3 linked regions of the Sus scrofa genome follow. The protein of the gene in region 1 binds, or shares a complex with, the protein of each later gene. Links are inferred from orthologs where the notes say so. Each region holds a gene or a part of one and is shown on either strand. Other genes may lie near its edges.

The links. Proteins that work in one complex are often made in the same cells at the same time.
Region 2: the proteins of GNAS (region 1) and CCKAR are in contact, whole or in part, in a cryo-EM structure (PDB 7XOV), measured with the Homo sapiens proteins. The link is inferred for Sus scrofa from reciprocal best matches to the Homo sapiens genes GNAS and CCKAR. Residues at the interface, in NP_000507.1 of Homo sapiens: Gln31, Gln35, Arg38, Ala39, His41, Asp215, Val217, Phe219, Asp354, Gly355, Tyr358, Phe376, Cys379, Arg380, Ile383, Gln384, Arg385, His387, Leu388, Gln390, Tyr391, Glu392, Leu393, Leu394; in NP_000721.1 of Homo sapiens: Thr76, Glu138, Arg139, Ala142, Ile143, Cys144, Pro146, Leu147, Gln148, Ser149, Arg150, Val151, Gln153, Thr154, Lys155, Glu235, Leu236, Ser301, Ala303, Asn304, Ala307, Lys308, Arg310, Val311, Met314, Phe372, Met373, Asn374, Lys375, Arg376.
Region 3: the proteins of GNAS (region 1) and GPR65 are in contact, whole or in part, in a cryo-EM structure (PDB 9BHL), measured with the Homo sapiens proteins. The link is inferred for Sus scrofa from reciprocal best matches to the Homo sapiens genes GNAS and GPR65. Residues at the interface, in NP_000507.1 of Homo sapiens: Gln35, Arg38, His41, Val217, Tyr358, Tyr360, Phe376, Asp378, Arg380, Asp381, Ile383, Gln384, Arg385, His387, Leu388, Gln390, Tyr391, Glu392, Leu393, Leu394; in NP_003599.2 of Homo sapiens: Gln42, Glu48, Leu49, Leu53, Asp111, Arg112, Ala115, Val116, Pro119, Leu120, Lys121, Phe123, Arg126, Val206, Ala209, Val210, Asn213, Lys214, Ala215, Thr216, Glu220, Ile224, Leu227, Leu228, Tyr290, Cys291, Thr294, Glu295.

Annotation. Positions count from the first base shown.
Region 1 is NC_010459.5:59,047,225-59,051,808, reverse strand, and holds part of GNAS (guanine nucleotide-binding protein G(s) subunit alpha), read right to left. Parts: intron 3,872-4,584; coding exon 3,774-3,871; intron 868-3,773; coding exon 813-867; intron 678-812; coding exon 604-677; intron 486-603; coding exon 427-485; intron 316-426; coding exon 195-315; intron 43-194; coding exon 1-42. UniProt on the Homo sapiens protein: Guanine nucleotide-binding proteins (G proteins) function as transducers in numerous signaling pathways controlled by G protein-coupled receptors (GPCRs).
Region 2 is NC_010450.4:20,196,970-20,202,169, forward strand, and holds the start of CCKAR (cholecystokinin receptor type A), read right to left. Parts: upstream 3,305-5,200; 5' UTR 2,162-3,304; coding exon of another isoform or gene 2,050-2,161; exon of another isoform or gene 1,645-2,049; 5' UTR 1,495-1,644; coding exon 1,095-1,494; intron 1-1,094. UniProt on the Homo sapiens protein: Receptor for cholecystokinin. Mediates pancreatic growth and enzyme secretion, smooth muscle contraction of the gall bladder and stomach. Has a 1000-fold higher affinity for CCK rather than for gastrin.
Region 3 is NC_010449.5:109,977,018-109,982,216, forward strand, and holds the start of GPR65 (psychosine receptor), read left to right. Parts: upstream 1-1,895; 5' UTR 1,896-1,990; intron 1,991-5,199. UniProt on the Homo sapiens protein: Proton-sensing G-protein coupled receptor activated by extracellular pH, which is required to monitor pH changes and generate adaptive reactions. Activated by an optimal pH of 7.4.

The sequences.
Region 1 (4,584 bases):
TGCTTGTTGAGGAACAGAATCACAGAGATGGTGCGCAGCCATCTAACACGGAGGAGAGCGGGGTCAGCGCCCGGGAAGGGGGGCGCCCTCTCTGCAGGGGGCTGGGGTGCCTGCACAGGACTCCTTCCCCTGCACCATGCAGATCCAGGGCCTCGAGCTCCGTGGGGAGGACGCCGGGGGGTCACCGCACAAACCTGTTGTTCCAGATGCTCTTGAAGAGGTTCAGGGCCTCCTGCAGGCGGTTGGTCTGGTTGTCCTCCCGAATGACCATGTTGTAGCTGCTGCTGGCGACCACGAAAATGATGGCGGTCACATCTTCGGCACAAGAGAGAAAGAGGATGCAGTGTTAGGAGTGACCATGAGCCTGAACCATCGGGGGCGGGGGGAAATAGCCTTAAAGAGTGGAGAAGCCCAGGGCTTCCATACCATTGAAGCATTGGATCCATTTGCGGCGCTCGTCACGCTGGCCACCGACGTCAAACATGCTGCAGGAGAGAGAGGACGCCTGGTCACCACAAGGGCTACCATGGTCCACCATGCTCACTGCGGGGGGACCTCGAGAAACCTATTTTTCTTTCTAAAAAAAAGGAACCGTTTACTTACTGGAAGTTGACTTTGTCCACCTGGAACTTGGTCTCAAAGATTCCAGAAGTCAGGACGCGGCAGCGGAGCAGGTCCTAAAACAAAGTCTCAGATTAAGCGGTCTCACCAAAACCAACCCAAGTGTTAATCATTGCCAACCTGGAGCAAAAATGCTGACTGGCTTGGAAAGAAGACTCTGCATCCTCTGCCCTGTGAGAAGGGGTGCATACCTGGTCGCTGGGCACGTAGTCAGCCTGCTTGATGACGTCAATCTTGTCCAGGAAGCTGGGAGCAGAAGAAAGACACACGGGGGTGACCACACGTTCAGGCCAATTTGCCCACTATTCCTGCCCAGCCACAAGGTCCAGCTAAGCGAAAACGACCATCCCATGAAGTTCATTAGGGTCAAGCGGATGCCTTACAAAGGTTCGCGCAAATAGGATTTAAGATAAATCAGGACCCCTGGCCTACAGGTACAGCACAGGCCAGTTGGGGGGGGGGGATCTGATCTGGTTTTAATTTGAAAAGACTCGCTCTGTGCAAATCCATCCGCCCAGGGCCCCAAATCAGGCCTGACTGTGTGCCATTGGGTAATGCCTGAGTAAAACAGTACACCCTCAGATTGTTTGGCTTTGACTAAAACGGCAAGTCGTTTGAAAACTGTACACTTCCATGTCAGGGAGTTTTTGAAAAAATGAAGAAAAAAAAAAGGGCACGCTTAAAAGAAGCAAGGATTTTTTTCGCCCAAAGGACGAATGAAGATGAGATTGCTGGATTAACTCAGAAAGGGTATCTCTCCTTTTAGGAAGTGGCCCTCTCGGCCCGCACCGCACCGAACAGGAAACAGACACCAGTTCCCTTCCGTCCTGCTTGGTCCGTGAAGCAGACCAGCCCAGAGAGGAAGCTTTCAAAGCACCTCACCGCCATCCAGGTTTGGGGCCCCAGGCAGGCAGGGGGCGCGCACCGTGGCGGCGCGGGGTCTGGGGGTCTCAGGGGTGAGAAGGCTGTCTAGGGGTGAGAATGCTTCCTCCCTCCCAGAGTCGGGAGGCTCTTTGCTTGGGTTGCCCGACTGGACACACTGTTAGGAAAAATAACTTTTAAAAGACTGGACTGAGGTAATTACCATGGAAAGTTAATGTGGAAACCAGCTTTTGGGGGGGGGGGAAGGGGGGATGGGAGGTGTTGGAAAGTGAGCTAATCAGAGAAGAAAATCAAAGCGAGAAAAATTTAAAGAAATTCTATAAGGTGGTGCCCCCCCCCCTTTCCTTTTCACCAGTTTAAAGTGAGTCTGGCTTCGAGGATACACTAACTTGCCCAATCAGGCTTACATTACAGCACCAGGCCAGAAATAGCTCCCCAGCCGCCCTGGCCTCCAGCACGTTGCCATGGCAACCGAACCACAGGTCTATAAATAGCTCATCAGCACCAAATCTTGTGAGAGAGACATCTGGAGGGGGGCCAGCCAAAGCCCAGCTCAACAAATAAAAACAGGCACCTTAAGGAACGGGCACGTCCCCAGGACCTCGGCCGTAACCTAAAGGCAGTTACGCCAGAAACAGGCGGGCTACGAAGAAGGCAGGGCTGCTGGAGGCGGCTGGCCGGGGAAGGAGACATTTTAAAAGGGTCAAGCTCTGTTCTCTTTTTCTCGGAGTTTCCTTAAAACTTTCCATAAACTGTGCACATGCTGCCATTTGCAGATAAAGTTGCAGGCATGCGTGGATAGGGCTTTCGAAAAACTTTTAAAAAAAACTTTTGAAATGGTGTGCGATTTAAAAAAAAAAGAAAAAAAAAAAAAAGAAAGCTGGCTAAACTGAATTAATGAAGTTGTTACACCCCGCCCCGCCCCCCCAGGGCTCTTAAGAATGGGGTGGTCAAAGCTGCCTAATCCTGTACCTGTGCTTCTGACTTGGATCCAGAAAACAAAAGGCAAACAATTCCAGGATTTCCATGTGTTTTGTGTTACTATAATTAGCACTTCCAGCTTTAAGCTCAAACTTTTGAGAAAATCAGGGACTTTGTTGAAGAAGGGGTGGGGGTGGGGGTCACGGCGACCGGCCCAGATGGACTGTTTCTCTGTTCCTTGAAAAAATATACAAGTTTGCTTGCGTGTTAAGTCACAAAATAGCTGTAGGGGTGACAAGTGAAAAGCATCGAGTGCCCTTGCTGTGGGAAAGCAGGGCCGGTGAAGGGACGTGGACAGCTTTCGCAGACCCCAAGAGGAGCTCGGGTGCTGTGCAGATGACGGGGTTCTGGGGAGCTGGCTTTGTGTGGCCCCAAGTTCCTCAGGCGCGGGGCTCCTGGGTAATGCACGATTTTAGCTTTTGGCGAGCCAGCCTCGTCCCTGGGTCCTGATTACTGAACATTTTCCAAAGCAAATTGTTGGCGTTTCAGTTACTTACACGAGGGGCTGACACAGGATTATCGTATTGTCAGAAAAGACAGTCCAACTTGAGAGCACGTTGCCTGAGACCGCTTGGTACATGTGTGCGACACGAGCAAACAGAGGGTCTCTTTGAGATATTTTTCACGGCTCTGAAGGCCATGTGTCTACCGCACGATGCACAGGGTAAGACAGGTGGTCAAGCTGTCTTAAAGGCAGCCTCCCGGCTGGGCGTCATCAGGCCCACTGCAAGAGAGCCTTGAAGGGACAGGAGGACAGGGCAAGGACCCCTTGGCAGGGGAGGCCCCTTGAATGAGGAACAAGGACAAGAAATGGCATCCAACATGGTGCCCACGCGAGATGAACCCTGGCAGCTGCTGTGGTCCCTTACGGGCGGTGGGGAGGTTGGGGCGGGGGCAGCACATGTCTGTCCTCACCATTCCTCTTTGGCACGTTTTTCAGTTGCGGTAAATACAATACAAAATTGCCACATTATCCGAAGTGTGAGAGCTGTCCCACCTCTCTAAATGCTTGCAGGTCAACTCAATTAATTACTTTGAGCTAATTAACGACGACCATGGCTTTATGGCAGGTGATTATCACTTTGCTCTGCCAGGCATTAAGTGTTTATATAAAATAACGTAGCTGCACTAAAACGTGCCATGAAGGCCCCTAGAAGATAAATGCATCAGACTAGAACCTTCTCAAGGCAGGTGAGACTACCTGGCTGGCTGCTAAGAAAGTACCTTGGGGCGGTGGGAGTGGAGGTGTGGGGTGTGCCCCGCGGGGCTCGGGCGGGGAGGGCACTTACTACTGGGCGCAGTCGATGAGCTGGTACTCGTTGGAGCGCTCGTAGCAGGCGCGCACGCCCTCGTCCTCCCACAGAGCCTTGGCATGCTCGTAGAACTCCTGCAGGGAGGGCCAGGGAGAGGGGTTGGAGGGGGCTGCAGGGCGCCCGGGAGACCCACCCCAAGGGCCGGTCCCCATGTCCAGGCAGCTTTAGGCAGGAGCGTTCCTACAGGACGTCGGCGGGCTCAAGGGCCCCCCCGAGTCCAGAATTACTGCTCCCGGGTTGTCATCAGCCTGTGCGTCGGGGGCCTGGGGGGGAGAGGCCGGACTGGGCCGCCCAGGAACTGGGTTTCTTCAGAGTCGCTTCTACGGGAGGGTGTGAGCTGGTCAGGAGGCTCTGGGTGGGGGGACAGGACATGTCTTTGTGATGAGGTTGTGGGGCACGTTTTCTCAGCTTTGGCCAAAACTATGACGGTCGGGAGCTGCTGGCCAGTCTGCCCTGTGCTTCTGGGGACGGTCTGCCAGGAAGAAGCCAAGGGCCAGCGACCTCTGCGTTGTTCTCAACGGCAGTAGGTCACAGGTCACAGGTCACATCACGTGGGGGCACGCTCCCCTTTACAAGGAAAGAGAAGGTCTCTCTCCAGTGTGAATTCAGAGGGAGAAAGATCAAAAGCGTGTGCAGCTCGGTGGCCGGAGGACCAACCAGCCGGCATGTCGCTGTCCCCTGCCTTTCTAACAGGCTGCCTTCTTTCTCCTCGTCTCAGAAACACAAGTCCAGCCTTGGCGTTACGTGTGCTGGGTTTACCAGGTGAAGGTTTTTCTATCTTGAAAAT
Region 2 (5,200 bases), on another chromosome or scaffold:
TCCTCTGTTCTCCCAACGGGGAAGGGACAAGGCATTCTGGCAGACAGAAGGGACCAAGAGACACGTCTTATTTCAGTGGCAGGAGAGCCACGACAGTCGGCAAAGCGAGGCTGTGTCCTCACCAACCACTGTGGTGGCTACCGATCTGGGTTCAAGTCAGCTCAGTGGCTTACCATCTGTGTGTCCTTGAGCACATGGGTAACCTCTCTGTGCCTCTCTTCCCTTCTCAATGAGACAAGAATGATTAACTGTATATGCTGCATAGGGTGTTGGGAGATAAAATATGATCCTGGAAGTAAAATCTTAAAGCAATTAGTAGGACAGCTGGTACTCAAAAAAAAAAAAAAGTACTCAAAAATGTTAACTCTTGCGATGGTTCTTATCATCACTGTCATTTTGAAGGGCAAAGGCAGAGAGCTGTGTATCTCAACAAATCAGGGTCAGGTCAGCCTAGTGACCCACAGGCTCCGGGAGCAAATTCAACTCCCAGCCTAGTGGCAGAGCGTGCTCTCTCTCTCTCTCTCTCTCTCTCTCGATGATCCCTGCTCCTAGGAAAACAGGCTGGGAAGTGGATCTTGAGAAGGGAATCCAACCTCTGATGATGACACTGATTCTCAAATAGCCCCAGTTCCCTAGGACAGTCCGAGCACCAGCAGGAAGAGCTGCTCTTCCAGCCCCCCTGGCCACCCCAACAGCCACACCTCAAGGTGGGTAGAGCTCAGAGTACAATCAACACCTTCCAGGAATGGACAGAGCAGCTGGAACCTGTCTTTCTAACAGCAGCAAGGAAAGCCATCTCCTCTGTGGCTTCTCACCAACTTATTCCCACGCTGAGACTCAGACCTCTGAAACGGGGGACTGACTTTGGGGGAGATGGGAGGCCTGATCCTCACAAAGCCAGCTCCTCTGTTCTTACTCATAGCCCCACACAACCGGGTGTTTAGGGTTTTTTTTTTTTTTTTTAACCTTAGGGAATTTTTTTTTTTTTAAACCTCAGCAGGGCTCCTGCCCTGAGGCTGTCAGGGGTTTGGGAACGTCTGGGGCCGCATGGGGTCTTGGGGGAGCTCCAGGACTCGTCACCAGCAGCTACTCACCCATGAAGTAGGTGGTGATCTTGCAGACGGCACTCCCAAAGATGAAGTCCTTGAGCAGGTTGGGGATGAGGTTGAACGGCATGCAGACGAGGCAGAGCAGGAGGTCGCTGACGGCCAGGGAGAGCAGGAAGATGTTGGTGACGGTCCTCATCCTCTTGTTCCGAATCAGCACAGTAATGACCAGCGTGTTCCCCAGGATGCTGAGCAGGAATATCACCGAGTACAGGAGAATCTGCACGGCCGGCTGCCACTCTGCCGCGACCGGCACCGACGAGCCGGAGGGAAGGAGGTTGTGGGAGCAGGATGTTAAAACCTGAGCCCACCAAGCAAACGTATGTCCTGCCGATTTTGGGGGGTGGGGGGTTGCAGGGCGTACATCATGGAACCCAGCTCTCCCCATACTTACACTATTTTGCAGAAACAAAGTGAGGAGAGCACAGAGCGATGTCGTCGAGGCTTAAATGGTTGGTCTGTTAAAGGATCCCTCGGGGAACCACTTTTTCTTAAGAACAGTGCTCCTCCAGTGAATCAGGATTGCTCTCTTCCCTAGCTGCTAAGCAGTTTTCGCTTTAATCGCTTCTTCACACTGATTTTCCCCGAGAAAAGGCCACAGCTGGATTGTGACAGCGCCTTTTCTGTGATGCTTGTAAGTCCAAGCTTCGACACTTGTCCTCCCTTCTGGCCACCCTTCAGCTCCTCCTCCTACCCCTTTTGTGCCCCCAAGTTCTATCCATGAATCCCAGCTCTCCCGTGGGGGAACAATAAGAGCCCTGAACTCGATCCTGCTTTTTGACCTCTTATCCAAACTTCTGAGCAGGTGACTTTATCCAGCCTGGCCTCACGAGGACCTGGTTCTATTTTGCTCAATCAGCCTTGCCGTTACGGATGTCTCCCCCACCCCCACCACCCCAACTGAATAGTTTTCTGCATAAAAAGAATGGTCTCTGCCACCTACCTTGGGAAGGATGGGGCTGATCCAAACAGAAAAGCGTCTCATTTTCGATCCCCAGTTCGCAGGGGGGAGTGATGTTGCTTCCATTCATAAGAAGGCTGTGGACCACATCCATCCTTGCCTGCTGCTTTCCCCCAAGTGCTGGCGAGCTGGTGAACGGCTCCTGCTCGGCTCATTCCTCTAAAGACGGACTGCAGAGTCTCCCAAGTGCAACCTGCCCTGCGGGGCAGGGAGGTGGGGCAGTGAATTCCAGGTGCGGGCTTCTGCAGCCATTCTTAAAGGGACTGGAGTTCAGCACACTCAGTCCGGCTGGGCAAGCATGTGCACTCCTGTCTTGGAAAGAGCAGCTGATGTGAGCCAAGCCCACTCCACCTTCCAGGCCCACCCCATTCCTGGGCCAGCGCAGGGCCCTGAGCGCAGCCAGCCTTCCTGTGAGTTAACCCTTCCTGGAGTGATCGCTGCGTTGACACTCGCGTGCACACGTGCGTGGACAGACACATGCATGGGCACAGACGCACATGCTTCCCCGGTACCTCTCTTCTCTGTATAGGAACCTGTCACCATCCCAGACACAAGCAGAAGAAAGCCCGCCGTGGCTGTGTGAGGCAGGAACAATTAACAATTAACAGATACCATAATACAGAGCATCAGGACCTAAGGAGATGGAGTTTCTACCTCCTTATATAAAAGCAATTAGTGCCTTTTTAGCTTTGGAACGATGCCCAGCAATGTGTGTGGATATAACTGCTGGCTGGTTGTTAAGTTGTTACCAACCAGGGGGTGATTTCTTGTGGTCTCTGCCCTTGTTAACTGAAGCCAGGGGGTGCTTTGGCTCTAGGTGCCTGGATCCTTGTTACAGAAGCACTTAGGAAGATGTTTCATGCTTTCATTTATTCATGCGTCCATTCATTCACCCGTGTTCATAAGAGTCAGCTGTTTGCCAGGTACTTTTTTAAACACATAAGCAAATAATGAATAGGATATTTCAAATGTGTGAAGCACCCCCAAAGAAATAAAGCAGGATGGAGTAAAGGAGAGGGATGGATGGGGGTGGTTAATTTATACGTGGTATCAGGAAGGGCCTCCCGCAGGAGGGGGCCATGATCAGAGAGCTGGGTGACCAGGAGGAGGAAGGCTTTGGTGATCTGGGGAAAACTGCTGCCAGTCTTTTTGGCAGAGGTGATGGCACGAGCAAAGGCCCTGAGGTGGGAATGAACTTGGCCTTTTGAGGAACAGTTAGATGTAGGAATGAGTAAGGGTGGACTGTGGGAGGTGAGATTGCGGGGGGCGGGGGGGGGCGGCGACCAAGGGCTCTGGCTTTTCTGTGAGGCTTTGTGCTGTTGTCAAACTGCTCCGACCCCATCATACACTTGGTCTCCCCTTTGGGAAAGCAGAGGACAGCAGAGGGCGCTGTGTTTCTCACATGCCGCCAGGCCCAGCAGAGACCTGGACTGGACACACAGCGCTCTCAGTTGACAGGGCAGCTTGTTTTATATTTGCTGGATCCCTGGCCGGCACAGATGAACTAAGGGGCATGTTTACTGCCCAGGCTCAGGATGTGGGGCTGGGAAGAGAGGGGTACCTCTTGTCTTTGAAATCACGAACAACTCATGTGGGAGGCCCTTAGTCATGGGAATTAGAAATGGAGAAGCTCTCAGTAATTCTTAAGAGGACAGGTTCTGGCAACAGACCCGGGATCAAATCCTGGCTTCACTGGTTACTTGCTGGGAAATACTGGGTGGGTTTCTTTCTTTTTCTTTCTTGTCTGTCTGTCTTTTTTTTTTTTTTTTTTTTTTTTTTGCTTTGCTTTTTCTTTCTTTCTTTCTTGTTTGTTTTTGTTTTTGTTTTTTTGCTTTTCAGGGTGGCTCCTGTGACATATGGAGGTTCTGTGGCCGCCATCCTATGCCACAGCCATAGCATTGCAGGATCTGAGCCGCATCTGCGACCTACACCACAGCTCATGGCAACACCGGATGCTTAACCCACTGAGCGGGGCCAGGGATGGAACCCGCATCTTTGTGGCTACCAGTAGGGTTCGTTTCCTCTGTGCTGCGACAGGAACTCCTGGGCAGGTTTCCTACCTAAGACTCTTTTCCTTCTTTTGTCAAGTGGGGATCAAAATGACCTCATGGATGTTTGTGATAAAGAATCACTGATCGCCTCGAAACAGAGAAAGTGTTCAATAAATCACAGACAATAAAAACTATGACTGATACGGACCCTGCCCACCAGGAGGGGACCCAGTGCGGGACTGTTCTGATTTGAGGAGGGATGCACATTCAGGGTCTGAGCTGTGGGTACAGCTAAATTTCACAGCACGGCTGATCCCAGGAGCCCGCTGCTTCAGCTGCTTTCACGGAGCTGACATCACCAGCCACAGAGGGCGCTTCCTGTTCGGGCACCGTGGCTGCTGCTTCAGCCACTGCACAGAGCCTGCTGCTGCGGGTCCAAGAGCAAAAGAGCAGGGGGCTCCCTCTCAGCCCACCCTGAGCTGAAATGGAGCCCACTTTGGAGCAAGTTCCTTCCTTCCCCCCTCCTGCCTCCTTTTCCCCTCCCTTCCTTTCCATTCCATTCTGTTCATCACTTGGCAGGAAGCAAGGGTGGAGTGGAGGAGGGTTTTGTAAACTCACCAAGAGTAAGTGTGGCCCATTGGAATGCTGCCATGCAAATTACAAACTTCAGGGCAAATCTGAATCACCCAGGGTAGGGGTTCAAAAATGGGGATTCCTATACAATGAAATACTACTCAGCCATAAAAAAGGACAAAATAATGCCATTTGCAGCAACATAGATGCAATTAGAGATTCTCATACTACGTGAAGTAAGTCAGAAAGAGAAAGACAAATGCCATATGCTATCACTTATATGTGGAATCTAAATTATGGCACAAATGATCCCATCTATAAAACAGAAACAGATCGTGGGCATGAAGAACAGACTTGTGTTTGCCAGGGGGACGGGGAGAGAAGGGCATGGACAGGGAGTTTGGGGTTAGGAGATGCAAACTCTTACATTTAAAGTAGCTGAGCAATGAGATCCTATTGCCCAGCACAGGGAACTGTGTACAGTCTCAGGTTAAAACATGATGGAAGATTGTATTAAAAAAAGAAAAAATATATATGTATGGCTGGGTCACTCTGCTGTACAGCAACAA
Region 3 (5,199 bases), on another chromosome or scaffold:
AAGTTCTTATTGTTCATTTTCTACTTAAATTTTTCATTATTTCAGTAAAAATAGAAAGTATTCTGAATTTTTAAGGTACCATATATTAAATTACCTTGCAAATGTACTTTATAAATCTATATAATTACTTTTAGGAGTTCCTGCTGTGGCTCAGCAGTAACAAACCCAACTAGTATCCATGAGGATGAGGGTTGAATCCCCAGCCCTGCTCAGTAGGTTAAGGATCCAGCATTGCTATGCGCTGAGGTGTAGGTCTCAGAGGTGGCCTGGATCCTGTGTTGCTGTGGCTGTCGTGTAGGCTGGCAGCGACAGCTCGGATTCGACCCCTAGCATGGGAACTTCCATATGCCACAGGTGTGGCCCTAAAAAATAAATAAATAAACCATTACTTGTATTATTTTCAATGAAAGATCTACAAAGGAAGTATAAGAAACCTGTTACATTCCTGTCATATCCTGGAAACCTCAAGGTCAGAAGTCTTGCTTTTATTACAAGATCTTTTCCAACTCTGGTGAGAAATATTTACAAACCTACCAATAGGAATATCTAATGTTCTTCTACAAAAACAGACTCAAGTTGCCATGATTTCAGTTTTGGGGTTTTTTGTCTTTTTTTTTTTTTTTTTTTTTTTTTTTTTTTGCCGTTTCTTGGGCCACTCCCGCGGCATATGGAGGTTCCCAGGCTAGGGGTCGAATCAGAGCTGCAGCCGCCGGCCTCCACCAGAGCCACAGCAATACGGGATCCGAGCCACGTCTGCAACCTACACCACAGCTCACAGCAATGCCGGATCCTTAACCCACTGAGCAAGGCCAGGGATCGAACCTGCAACCTCATGGTTCCTAGTCGGATTTGTCAACCACTGAGCCACGATGGGAACTCCCTTCAGTTTTTTTTTAATTAGGTTAAATTTTTCCATCCCAAATTAATTCCATCCTTGTAGAATACAAGTTTCCCCTTCATTTTTAATTAAAGCTTATGAAGACAAAATTCAAAAGCAATGTCTCAGACTTTTTTATATCTCAAAATTCTGGAAGTTATTTCACTTCATATAAAATCACTTCCAGATTTGTCAAACCCATGTCTTTCTCAAATTTTTAAGTTTCATAAAATTATGGATTTGCCTAAGCCAGTTTGTTCAATGAGTTTTAGCACGTGTAGCAATGTCTGATGGAATCTTCCATTCCAAGAGGAAAATCAAAGGAGAAAAATGGCTCTAAAATAAAATACTTTATAGCTGATCCCATTGGTCCTTTTAAAAAGAAAAAAAAAACTTTACCACGTTGGCTACCTTGGCCCCGCCATCACGGTCGGTCTTTAAGCAATGAACATGCTCTTGATACACCCAAACCCCTCCTCTCCCCCTGCTGGTTTTTCTCCCAGGATGTTGATCACCCCAACCCCATCGACAGCATCCTCTTCCGTCTCACACATCCAAGGATTCATTCTCTCTTTTTGGACCTCTCTTGGAGAACTTATCCATTTTTACCACTGTATTATGTTTTTTATTGCTTTCCCTTCACTCAGTGATAAGCTTCCTGTGGGTTGCAGATGGGTCCTAAATATTTCCCAGCACAGCACCCTAAGAGGATGGTAGATATATGTGGTAACAGAGAAGGGAAGGAAGGAGAGAGTGAATGAATGAATGAATGAAGTTCTAGATATATTTTCTCTTAAATAAAGAGGAAACGTACTTAAATAAATCCTTAAATAAATATTAGCATACAGGTGTAATTAAGATGCAAAGAGAAATGTGAGTTATAAAAATTATACTACATTCAATAATAAAGCACCTTTTAAAACATTTAGGAGACTTCTGTTGCTCAAATATGGATAATGTGCATCCTTCTCATTAAGAAGCTGCTTCCTCATTGGTTTGTGATGAAATATGAGTGCAATTTCCTGTCCCCTCAACAATGTTGGTTTCTCTTCTGGGTACAAGCAGATTTATCTGGCTCCTCGGTTGACAAAATCGTCATCTCAAGAAACATGGGTAAGTGTAAGACTAAAAAATAAACTAAGATGCTAAGTAGGTAACAGACTTTTGAATGATTCTCAGTAATATTTGCAACACATTATCTAGTTGGGGCTGTATGGATGTGGTGATAAAAACTGTTATAAGACAAGGAGAAATAAGGATGACACATGGTTTCTCTGCTTTGAGCAGTAGTGAAGGATGTCAAAATGTAGGTTTAGAAATAGTTAGGTAAAACTATCAAATGACAAAAGAGGAAAGTTTATGCTCACTTTATTTCCTCTTCAGGAAACAGTATGATGGCAAACTGAATTAAGTGGTTGGGGAGAAATGTACCAGCTCCTGGTTATAGAACTATCACACAATGCTCTAGTGATATTTCTTTAAATACAATTAGGAATAATGTGAAATTTGAGAATAATATTTCCCATACTAATAAGTATTTACTAATAATTCTTAATAGGTGATTATCACAGTGTCTGACACATAGTAGAGTCTTAATAAGCAGCTTTTAACTGATACATGAAGGCAAGTATTTCCTATAACCCTTCTTTTCTTCTGATCATTGTCATCTATGGATTGTACTATTTTAAGAGCTGTAGATTATCTTCTTTAGGCATTAGGTAAAAATTAAAATCAGAATAAAAAAAGTATCTAAATTTCTCAACACTGGTTCTAAAAACAGATTTCTCAAAATGTGATTAAAGTAGTCAAGATAATATCTTATGAATAATAAGAGTTATGTCCCATTAAAATCTCAGATTCACACAAATTAATTTAAAACTCTTTATCTGTAGAGTTCAGTATCCTATGTGAAATGTTGCTGTAAAAATTATACTCTGTCTGACTGGCTTCTCTGCTATTCTCTGGATAGGTGGCCAAAGATGATCTCCTATCAGGAAATGTAGGGGACAGCAGACTACCGGTGTTGTCATTAAAGCAGTATCAGTTAATGTGTGTTGAAGTCTTGCCGTGTGCTTGGCACTCAGCTTCATGCATCATCTCATTTAACCCCTACAAGAATTCTATGCAGTGGTTGCTGTCTTATATCTGTGAAAACTGAAACTTTAATAAGAGATGGAGAAACACACATGGTCACAAAACCCCATGGGCTGTTGAGAGCTTTGAGTTTCCTGAGCTCACACAGGTAACCACAAGCCTCCGTAGGCACTGCTTCTGCTGCCCAACCCAGAAAATATCCTGTATCTGTTTCATTAAACTGTTCCATCTTATGGTTGTTTTAGTTAAGGCAGGAAGTATTTCTATAGAGAAAGAAATTTTGGTCCATTGAGAATTTTGTAAATCCTTCTAAGACTAATTTTTCCATATTATCCATCTCATCTCATCTTTGAAAAAAAAAAAAAAGATGTATATTTGTTAAGTAACATGGAAAAAGGAGGAAGGGGTACCTTCCTGCCCATCCCCCTGCTCTCCCAGTCCTGCTTCTTTTTTTATTTTTTTTGTCTTTTGTTGTTGTTGTTGTTGCTATTTCTTGGGCCGCTCCCACGGCATATGGAGGTTCCCAGGCTAGGGGTTGAATTGGAGCTGTAGCCACCGGCCTCCAGAGCCACAGCAACGCAGGATCCGAGCCGCGTCTGCAACCTACACCACAGCTCACGGCAACGCCGGATCGTTAACCCACTGAGCAAGGCCAGGGACGGAACCCGAAACTTCATGATTCCTAGTCGGATTCGTTAACCACTGCGCCACGACGGGAACTCCCCCCAGTCCTGCTTCTAAAGAACATTTTCATGGTTTAAGTGTTCTCCCCCAGACACATGAGCCTAATAATGGATGTGATATCATGCAACCCTCAGAGTTTCATCCTCAGTAGCTTATTCAATTCTTCATGCATCTCAGATATTTCCCTAATGTCATTTTCCTTCTTCATTTATATTCTTTAGAGGTCTCTCTACTGAGGATTTTGGGGGTCAGTGTTCTTTGGCTTGTGCTTTCATTTTGAAATTTAGTTCTATTGGGTACACAATTATGGGATGATATATTCATGGCAATTTGTAATATCAATCCACTGTCTTCTGTTTCTGTTATTATTGCTATTGGAAAGTTCTCTGTTGGTCAAAATTTCATCCTGTCTGTCGGTAGTCCGTTTTTATCTCTCTGGCACTTGTTTCTGCAGTGGTGGGTGGGTGATGTGCAGCTTGACCACAACAAGTCTAAGTCTAGATTTCCATCTGTTTGTTTGTTTTTAATTTTATTTAGGATTTGCTGAGCTTCATGAATCTAAGGATGCCATGTCCTTTGTCACGTCTACACATTTCTTGGTCAGCATCTTTTCAAATATTGCCCCACTCCGACTTTTTTCTGTCCTTATGGAATTTCATTATAAGTATGCAGACCTTTTCACTTTATCCTCCATGTCTGTGGTATTTTTCTATCTCTTTAATATTGATAATTTTGTGTTATTTCTTTTCTTTTCTTTTTTTTTCTTTTCTTTTTTTGTCTTTTTGTCCTTTCCAGGGCTGCACCCGCAGCATATGAAGGTTCCCAGGCTAGGGGTCCAATCGGAGTTAAAGCTGCCAGGCTACTCCATAGCCACAGCAACGCCAGATCCGAGCCACATCTGCAACCTACACCACAGCTCACGGCAACCCTGAATCCTTAACCCACTGAGCAAGGCCAAGGATCGAACCTGCAACCTCATGGTTCCTAGTCAGATTCATTAACCACTGAGCCACAATGGGAACTCCCCAATTTTGTGTTATTTCTTTAGCTCTACTTTCAATGTATTAATTCTCTCCTCAGCTGGAACTAATTAGTTATTTAGTCTCCATGTTGATTTTAAATTTTAAATTATTGTATTTTTTTTTGTTTCTAAAAAGTCTATTTCTGACTTTTTAAAAATATGCCCAGTCATCTTTTATAATCTCTTGCTCCTTACTCATATGTTCAGATTTCTTCTTCTTTCTTCTTTTTTTTTTATTTTATTTTAATTTAGGGCCGCACTCACAGTATATGGAGGTTCCCAGGCTAGGGGTCAAATTGGAGCTTCAGGTACCCACCTAAGCTACAGTCACAGAAATGCTAGGTCCGAGCCACGCCTTCGACCTACACCACAGCTCACGGCAACACCGGCTCCTTAACCCACTGAGCAGGGCCAGGGATCGAACCTGCAACCTCATGGATACTAGTTGAGTTCATTACCATTGAGCTACAACAGGAACTCCAGGATTCCTTCTTTTATTTCTTTAAACATATTAAGCATACTT